Drosophila melanogaster: one gene and its partner. The protein of the gene in region 1 interacts with the protein of each later gene in a pairwise test. Each region holds a gene or a part of one and is shown on either strand. Other genes may lie near its edges. The genes, in order: stw and SamDC.

Region 1 (5,067 bases):
TTGGCATATTCGAGTCGCTTTGCCACATGCTTAACAGTCAAAAGCGGGACTTTTCTGGGACTGCACGCATTAAGGTTGTTTTGTCTTAAGCGTTTGCGAACTGTTTCCACGCTTGCAGCTATCTGAAGCTCCTTCTTCAGTTCCGTCGCCGGCTTAAAAGGCTCCTTCTTGCTTTGCCGAACCAAGCGCTTGATCTCCACGTTGGACATTGAGGGCTTTCTTCCACGTGTTTCGTCCTTTTCGACAAACAGCATTGTGGATCATTTTGTTTGAACACCCGACAATTCGACCAATTTCAGCGTAGGTTTTACATTCAGAGATCATGTTTTTAATCAAATTTCTTTTTTCGACGGTACAATGCTTTTCGCGACCCATAACTAGAGAATTTTTGGTCTTCGTTTGGAACAAATTCAATTAAAACCTTTAATACAACTCCTTTTTTCAAAATTTGTCGAAAAAAATCCCAAATCACTCCTATTAATTTTATTCAACAAATACGTGGTCAGTGCTATTTTTGTTACCGTCTCATTTCGCGCGCTTTTGCAGCAAGTGCCCAAAAACAAAAAGAACCGTTACATTGAGAGAGTAAAAATTTCTTGCTCAGAGAGCCAACATATGGAACTTATTATTCATGAAATCTGACTTAAAAAAAAATAAACATTTTATAATTTTTTTTTAGCAAATCAACTTTCCATCTGCAGTAGTGCTATTATTTTAACCGCAGCTGTATGTACATATGCATACATATTCATATATTTAGTATCGTATATTATGTATAATTATAAATCTATGTGCTTCCTCTTCTATTTTATACATATACATTCTTACCTATTAATTATATACTTTGGAAGTCGGAACGAAAACGATATAACCATTGGAATAATCAAAACAAAACATAACAAAATATGTTCCATTTCTTGTTTATAATTTTAAAGTGCCGTTATTCACTTTAAAACACTTTTTGATAACATATGTTTTTGGTTCTTATTTGATAAGCATCCACTGTATCAATTATTTAAAAATATTACAGAGAAAATTATAATTTTGTTGTATTTGATCATAAATTGTTCTTATTCTTTTTATAAAAAAAAATGAAACATGCATTCATCTCCAACGACTAACTAGCTTTAATATTCTACGTATGTATTTATATTTACACTTTCGGTGCGCTATTTTATTTAGCATTTTATGTTTGTAGTCATGTGTTGCATACCTCTTAGTTTCGTCAATTCTTTTCAATTGATTTTTGTACACATGTCATTTGTTTATAATAGTAGTAATACTTTAAACAAGTATATTATAACGTGTTTAAGAATTTGCATATATGTGCTGACTTTTTGAAGGTGCCCTATACATATGTAAACCTTTAATAAGTAAAAGTAAAAGCTACATGCAAAAATCTCAGCACAGCACTTTAGTATTCATTTATTTGAGATCTATTTGTCTGAACTTTAAAACATTCCCTTCATATGATTTAGGCAACAACAATACAATAAAGATCCGTTATATTTCGTTTCATTTTCTTTTTCTATGCTTTGGTAAAGCTTTTGTGAGGTTGCGGCAGCTCTAGACTCGACCAACTTGCTCTGAGATCGTGATCAAGTTGGCTGCTGCAATTTCTTGCGCTCTCTGAGCCATGTCATGATTCACTGAGCCATTCCTTTCCCTGGCTCATTCGTAAGCTCGTTTTGCAGTAACTTTTCTACTTAAACATTTTATATAGTCGTACGTATGTAGCTACCGCTTCAGTTTGGTGCTTAAACGCGTTGCTCGTACTTCATTAAGCCGTAATCAATTCAGGTGGTGTTGCTATTGCTTAGTACACATACTTTAAAAATATATAGTCTTATGTTGTGAACATCCACCCAAAGTATTGTTAAATAGCTTAAAGGAATTAATAAAAATACAAGAAGAATAGTGAAAAATAAAATTATACGCCATTCATACAACTATGAAAGCCATGGATCTTAACGGATTTTACCAAACTTTTATTTCGTTCCTGATATGGGGTGCATTTTCCAATTTTCCTGAAGTATTTGCAGTACGTGTTGCCAACTCACAGCAAAATCAACCTAAGAAAGGTAAGGAAATCCCATCTTGGTAATTTTTTTCACCTAAGAAGTCTTGAAATATCATTTTGTGATTTGTCGACAGTACATATTCCTTTCATTAAAATGATTATTTAAGTGCAATACGTATATACTCGTATACATCTAAACATGACTATATTTCCAAGGGGTGTTCCAAAGATTTGGGGGATCTTTTGGGTATCTTTACTGTAAATTAATTGGAATGTTTTGCAGGACAAAACGTTGTTTTGCCACACTTGCTTTCCGTTATCGTTTTCATAAGAATATATATATTAGAATTATAGGTTGATTATTTGGCCAACCATATATTATATGGATCAAAACATTTTAAAACTTAAATACCGTCTTTACCTATTCAACCCATACGAAGTAGAATAGTAAAATTATACACAATTAAATACATATGTATGTGCAAATAAAGTGAAAGGGAATAAATATTCAAACTAAAGAAAAATTGAATGGTTTAGGAGAAAGAGCAGTGCAAGTCTACAGATTTAGGGAACTGGCCATATTGGACCCAATGTAGATAGATAAACGTACTTTCTAAAATTTTCCCATACGACGGGCTGGAATGGAAAATTGCCTACACTTTAGGTAAAATTTTCGAAACAAACAAACTACAATATTAATCGCTCTTTTCTATATTTCTTATACCACAAAATTTTGCTTGTATCTGACATTATTTTTGTTATTTATTAAAACTTTTTTTATTTAAATTGCCTTTTTCATCAATATATATTAAAGTTAACAAATTTATAAAGAAATCAAAATATTTAGCCTTCATAAGCTTACACTGGTTTAGCCTACCACTTACTTTGCGCAATAATGTTATACTTTTTTAATTTTACTGATAATGGTATTTCTTCAACTTTTTAATTGCTGAATCGCTGACCTTGTCAGATGTTAGCATGCTACTCCCTACAAATTACGAAAGTGCGAACACTTCAACAAGCTTCAAACTTTTAAATCGTTGAAACCCCGATAATAAGAAAACTCTGTAAGATTAAAGTAAAACAACAGGATTTATTTACTTCGGTCTTAAATTGGAAAGCATTAAAAAAACATATTAAGATCTTTGCTAATAGTTTCTAACTTACTACATATGTACATATGCATGTAACTAAAAGAATTTAACAACCAACATAAATAAAGATATATTAGATAAATACTAGTGATTTCTTTTGTCAGACCATTTAGTAAAAGTTATTTGTAAATTTTTTAGCTGAGAAAGAAAAGTAAGAATTTTTAGACTTTAAGAATAGTGTATAACTATTTTGAGTGAGTCTTAAAAATTTTTTTTTTGCAATTTTCATGGAAAATAATATCAGCAGATATGTATGTATGTTCGGATAATAATATTCGCAGATTTATGTACGTTTGTCATGAAAGTTGACTCCTGTTTTCAATTCGGAGGTCGTCATTTCCATCATTTTTTGGTATGATCTCTTAAAAACTATTCCATAGTTTTTTGTAACCGATTGTAATTTTTATTAATTCACAAAAATAATCTATGCTTCATTGCTTTTCGATTTAGAATACACACCAGATAAAAAAAGAGATATCCGAAACGCACTTGAAAAAAGTTTTTTCGCTTTCAATCGAAATTTTGTTTTGAATTTTAATCTACACATCTTTTAGAAGCTGTGTTAGCGATTTATGTCATTAATCAAACACACGTTTTAAGTGTTGAAATCCAATTTTAGCAATAATATGTCAAAAATGAAACTCAGGAAGGTGATCGAATTTTTGACCCTTTTTCAAAAATACATGTACATAACTTCCTAAAATGAAAAGCCAGTTCAATTTATTGTATATGTATTGTATTGTATATGATTGAAATGAGGTGATCACAATGATTTTGTGCATTACACTTGGAGTTAGGCTTGTGATTTGTTGAAAAGGGTGAAAGGGAAAGTCTAGCCTTAGACTACGTCATTAAAACTCATTGTTTGCAGTTTATGTTTATATAAATATATTATATTTAATGCGGTTTTTACTTTTTATAAATTATTTTTCTGTCATTTATATCTTTATTTGCCTACGTTACACTTACTAATACTCTTAATTATTTGTGGTATGGTCGACAAAAATTAACCTAGCTGGTGGTCGCGCCTTTAAGTTTCTTAAGTTACTTTGAAGAACAATGTCCGCCATCCATTTGCGCCTCGCTCTCTCTCATAGCTGACCAAAGGACTTGTTGACATACGCGACATATCTAGAAGCTGGTTGTGATATTTTAGGAATACATGCATACGTTATTATTTCGAAATTTTCTAACGGATAAACGGGTATTTGATAGTTGATGTACTCGTTTTTTGATCATTCAAGTATGTGCAGATATGATTTGAATATACATAAATTATAGTATAATTTGGTATCTTCCTTAATTAACATTTTTCTAAGTGGTCCTTAACCAATAAATACAAATGTTTTATTTGAAATGAATGCAACATCAAAATACAAATTTATTAAGCTTAAAACCGGTCTGCAAGGGGTATTAAATGGTGCAGCCTTAAATTATAACTGATTCAAGGTGACTTCAAACTGAAAATTTGTGTATGTATGTACGGGCACCCAAACATATTTATTCAATGTTAAAGACAATACAATGGTATTACATTACTAAACTTTAACTTGCAAAACAGAAATGCTTTTTTTAATCAACACATTTTTTTTGTAATGTTATCGTTGCTGAAAATATGATAAAGTTGTTAGGTAAACCCATGCTAGTCATCTCTCTATTTCCATGAATACAAACTAACAGAGTAACATACATATGTGACACGTACGGAATGTGGGACTGGTTTCCGATTGCATTTATACAGTCCCAATATATACATACCTACAAACATATGAATGTACGTATGTATACTATATAAATATGTATGTCCGTTAGTGCAAATGTTTCGAAATAACGTAATTGATTACACTAGCGTACAAAATAAATTGTATAAATAATTTCAAATGGATCTCACAA
Region 2 (4,496 bases), on another chromosome or scaffold:
CAAATGGCAGCCAGAATGGGGGTAATACCATGTTTGTCCTTTCTCTTCAATAAATATTAGTTAATTACAATTAAGTTCTATTATTATACGAAGACCGGCATGTCTTAGGTGCACACCTGGTTCATTTGTTTAGCTTGAGACTATGACTAAACAAATGAAGGTGGTGCAGACGTGTATATATGTACACTAATATATGAAACCAGTAACTGACGAAACATTAATGATTCATGGCCGAGTAATTTGGCATTGTGAGCTACTTACATTTATGTCTGCTCCTAAGCTTATAAGAAACTCCAGGACATTCAGTTGTCCAAAATCTGCTGCATAGTGTACTGGAAAACGGCCCTTGATTTCCTCATTCACCTTTTGTGCCTGTATACAAATAGAATTAATTAATTCCAAAATTATTTAGAGTATTAGCAGCGCACATCATTCTGAAAAGCGTCTTGCACAGCATCGAACTCTCCGTTCTTTATGGTCCAAATAATGTCTTCATTAGAAATCGCACTCATTTTTATTTTTCTTTTGGGCCGACTTGTCAAATACTGCTAGGGATGGAACTTTGCCTGTGACACTTGTTCAGATCCGATAATTATTTGCTACATTTGGAATTTGCGAATTATCCAGGGTGTTGGTATATTTTAGTATTTTATATTAACAGTCTATTTAAAAAGTAATTGTACGTTATTTAGTAGTAGTAGTATTTATTATTTTATTTATTCGACATTTATTTTGAATAATTAATAACGAACGAAAAATAAATTTTGTTAGACATACGCAAAACAATCACAATTGCTGTTGGCTTTGGAATTTTATAAATTATCACCAGTTTTCTCACTGTGGGAATATTGTGCAAACAGAAGATTGTAAGATGGAAAGTTGCAACATTGCATGTCGGTTCGTTTCCAGTGCGATCCCTGTGAGTACTCCACTTCCAGTTCCTTCATAGTTTCGTAGGCCAACGAGCACTGATCCACAATATTCGAAAATTATTTTAAATAATTATACAAAAAGTGGAGCAACAGCTTACCTTATTGGCAAAGATGGTTACAATAAACTTTCCCGGCTTGAAAGTATTGATTACTTGATTGATAAGTTTACGATAGTTACTTAGAGCCACATTTGTTTCGAAGCTCACATACGAAAATTGATTCTCCGGAGTAATATGAATTGTCATGTACTCCCCCTATAAAGAATTTATGTCAATAGTTCTTGTAAAATTTTTCTATGTTACCTTATCGTTGATTCCATTCATGGAGTAGCCGCAAGGATCGAACAAAAAGTCATCAATGTGCATAGTCGGCAATATGGTATCGATACCAGATTTCTGAAATCACAATCTATATGTATTGGTTTTAATCATTTAAAATATATCCTCATACCACAGTAGCGCCATTAGCATCATTAAACTTGTTTTTATAGAAGATTGACATGGTTTCGGGATCTAGATCTTGCATTAATATTTCAATAGTTTGATCTGGATCGGAGTCAACGTTTTTCTCATCCGATATAAGTTGGGGCGTAATTTTGATATCAGAACGACTAAAAGTGTAGAGGTACCAACACTCCAGGTTCATGGAGCCCAGACAATAGGATCTTCCGTTGGGAAAAATTGAGTCCAGATACGTAACTTCCTCCGTAAAGCCTTGATGGGGAGTTATCTGAATATATATGATATAAAATCATTTGAAATGCAATTAATTTTTTTGCCCACCTGCGCCTCCGGTCTAGTGAAATTTTTTCGCGAGTAGAACAAGTCTGCGACCACATTGTATCCATTGGCCTCAGCCAGCTTAAGCAACTGACCCAGGCATTTCAATGGAGTAGTCGTTCCACAAGTTTTAAGGATCCATCGTCGCTTTGAAACAAACATACTGCTCTCACTGCTCGCACCGAATACAAATTTAAAATAATTAATAATATTTTATTAAGTTTAGTTTTATATATTCGCATACCTTAACACAAAAGCATCAATAATGTCGTTTTTGGATGTGCTTATTATTTGACAGTTGACATTGCTAAGCACGTTTTCCCAATCAGATCTGAAAAATATCATTTACATTCATTAAAAGTTCAAGGCTATTTGAATAAACATGTACACAATGCCTCGACCAAAATTTATTTTGAGATAATGAGGATTGGATTAATGGGATTGATTAAAACTCGTTATCAAACAAGGCCAAGGGTTAAGACCGATTTTTGAAAGCTTAATTCTAAGTGAATTTACAAAGTTCTACAGGCTGCCAGTTTAAAAAGAAATTCCCTTTAATAACTAATTTCTTGAAATTTCAAATCAAATTTGTATATCTTGAGAATCATAAATAAAAACTTCAATTTAATTTGGGTAGGTACACGTGTGCCGCATCTGATAAGCCTAAAAACCAATGTGTAACCTATTCCAATGGGACTATGTTATGTTTAAAAGATAATTATCAGTGTAGAAATACATTTCATTTCTTTTCAGGACGAAAATGAACGGCGCATATGTACGTATACTTTTGCCCGCAACTGTGCATGCACTTGTGCACAAAGGACATGTCGGCTGTTTGGGTTCCGCACTTGTTGAGGGACTCACCTGCTGATGTTACGCAGATCATCGTCACCGTTGGAGCTCTCCTCAAACCAAATCTCAAGGAGTTTCTCAACGCCCTCGAAGAAGTGCGAACCGTTCTCCAACATGCTGCTGGCTGGCAATAACAAATGGATCTGATCTGATACCAAAACAACGCCTGGTGATGTAAAGTAAACGATGGGACTATCGATGCGAGTGCTTGTTGTACTACATCGATAATTCGGGAGTCTAACAGCATGTTTCCACTTACAGCATTTCTCATTGAACAGTCGGCGGTAAAAATGTAAGTCCCTTTCTATTCGAATTAAGATACTTAAATATCTTTAATATATATTTTTTCAAATTCTCATCATTAGTTTAACAGATTTTTCGGTTGCTTATCCCATACCCCAGGCAAATAGTTAAAAAAAAACAGTAGAATTTGGATTTTCATTTTACATTAACCAGTTTTATTGTGATTGTTAAAAATTGTATAGAGTATTTTATTTGAAAAAATAAATGAGTAATATTTTTTGTATCTTAGCCTATTATGAAGTCCTTATTTTATTTAGACAATTTATGTAGATTCGAAAACAGCATTAAGTTTTTTAGTTTCTTATAATTGTATATAATTTAAATATTTCCTTGAAAAGTTTGCATTGCGTGATTATTGCTTTTTGCATAGTTTTACTATTAAAATGTTTTGTGGAGATTATTATATTATCACATGATTTTCGTATAGGCAAGAGATTTAAAACATTATTATTTTTTAGCTTTAGAAGTTGTTCAATTGCAAAGACAGCTGAAAAATCATTGTTAAAACTGAACTTTTCATTTTAATAGAAGCGATTTGTGTTATTAAAAAATTAAAAATACTGTAAAATGGTTTTAATAAATATAAATATAATAAATTTTATTTTTAATTTAATTGCATTAAGTATTGATGTCCTCTCTTAAGGTCTATATTTAGTGTGATATTATTTAAAAGTTTTGACATACTGGTTCAATTTTCATACCTCTTTTACACTAATAAGTATTTTGGTATTAGTTTTTAAAGATACAAATGAATAAAATTTAGTTTTAAAGAATGAAAATTTTATTAATAATCTATACGTATTTTTAATCCTATACCATTTGTTTTTCTCTCTTACGCGACCTCATAAATAAACAAAATGTGGGTTAAAGGTTCTTCTTTTTTTTTCGAAAAGTGAGTAGGGGGAATATATTTGGCGTTTTATGTTAACTTTGCATTATTTTCACTGGAAACAAGGTTAAGCGGTGCGGATAGATCCGCACTTTCACAGGTATCATTAAACGCCGGCAAAGAATTTGACTTCTTACGCCTTGATAAAATATCTTTAAGTGCTGCTGCGGCTGGGGTCTCGGTATCATCAATTTCCTTTTTGAATTTCTAAAATAAAAACATATTAGAAAATTGAAGTTTAAGTGTATTTAAATCTTATGCAAATAGATCTAGTTGATCAATCTACTTATCAAGACTTTAAAGTAATAGTGCAGATACATACATTTAAAACAAGGCCCGAAATGGCTAGAGATTCCCTAGCCGTCAAGAAATCTTGCTTCGTTGTTTCTATTGAAGAACATGATGACATTTGTTTGTGTTCTGCAAAAGAAAGTGTATATTTATAATTTTCGCAAATAAATCATACAATTAATAATGAAAGGCTCGTAGATATTTATTCAAACTTGAGCAGTTTAACGACTTAACAGGCACGTCCAATGCCATCTACAACAATGACATCATAAAATATGATTGGACAAGCAAGAAAATATTTTGGGTGGGTACGCGGTTAATATTCCGATTGCTAAATCAATAGCTTAATGAACATATTAACAGAAAAATAAATTGTTTTGGCAAGTTACATTTAATTACCAACAATAAAATGGTCAGGGAACATAAAAAAAAAACATTAAGTAAACAAAT

Evidence for each region.
Region 2: the proteins of stw (region 1) and SamDC interact in a two-hybrid assay, tested with the Drosophila melanogaster proteins (one large-scale study listed by BioGRID).

The regions. Positions count from the first base shown.
Region 1 is NT_033778.4:5,412,001-5,417,067, forward strand, and holds the start of stw (straw), read left to right. Parts: upstream 1-1,743; 5' UTR 1,744-1,951; coding exon 1,952-2,081; intron 2,082-4,095; exon of another isoform or gene 4,096-4,392; coding exon of another isoform or gene 4,393-4,417; intron 4,418-5,067.
Region 2 is NT_033779.5:10,337,698-10,342,193, reverse strand, and holds SamDC (S-adenosylmethionine decarboxylase), read right to left. Parts: upstream 2,738-4,496; 5' UTR 2,680-2,737; coding exon 2,576-2,679; intron 2,043-2,575; coding exon 1,956-2,042; intron 1,884-1,955; coding exon 1,715-1,883; intron 1,662-1,714; coding exon 1,383-1,661; intron 1,328-1,382; coding exon 1,235-1,327; intron 1,187-1,234; coding exon 1,031-1,186; intron 969-1,030; coding exon 813-968; 3' UTR 691-812; downstream 1-690. Other genes in the region: CG31715 (uncharacterized protein), read right to left, coding at 1-44, 262-372, 429-512; GATAd, read right to left, coding at 3,786-3,962, 4,078-4,175.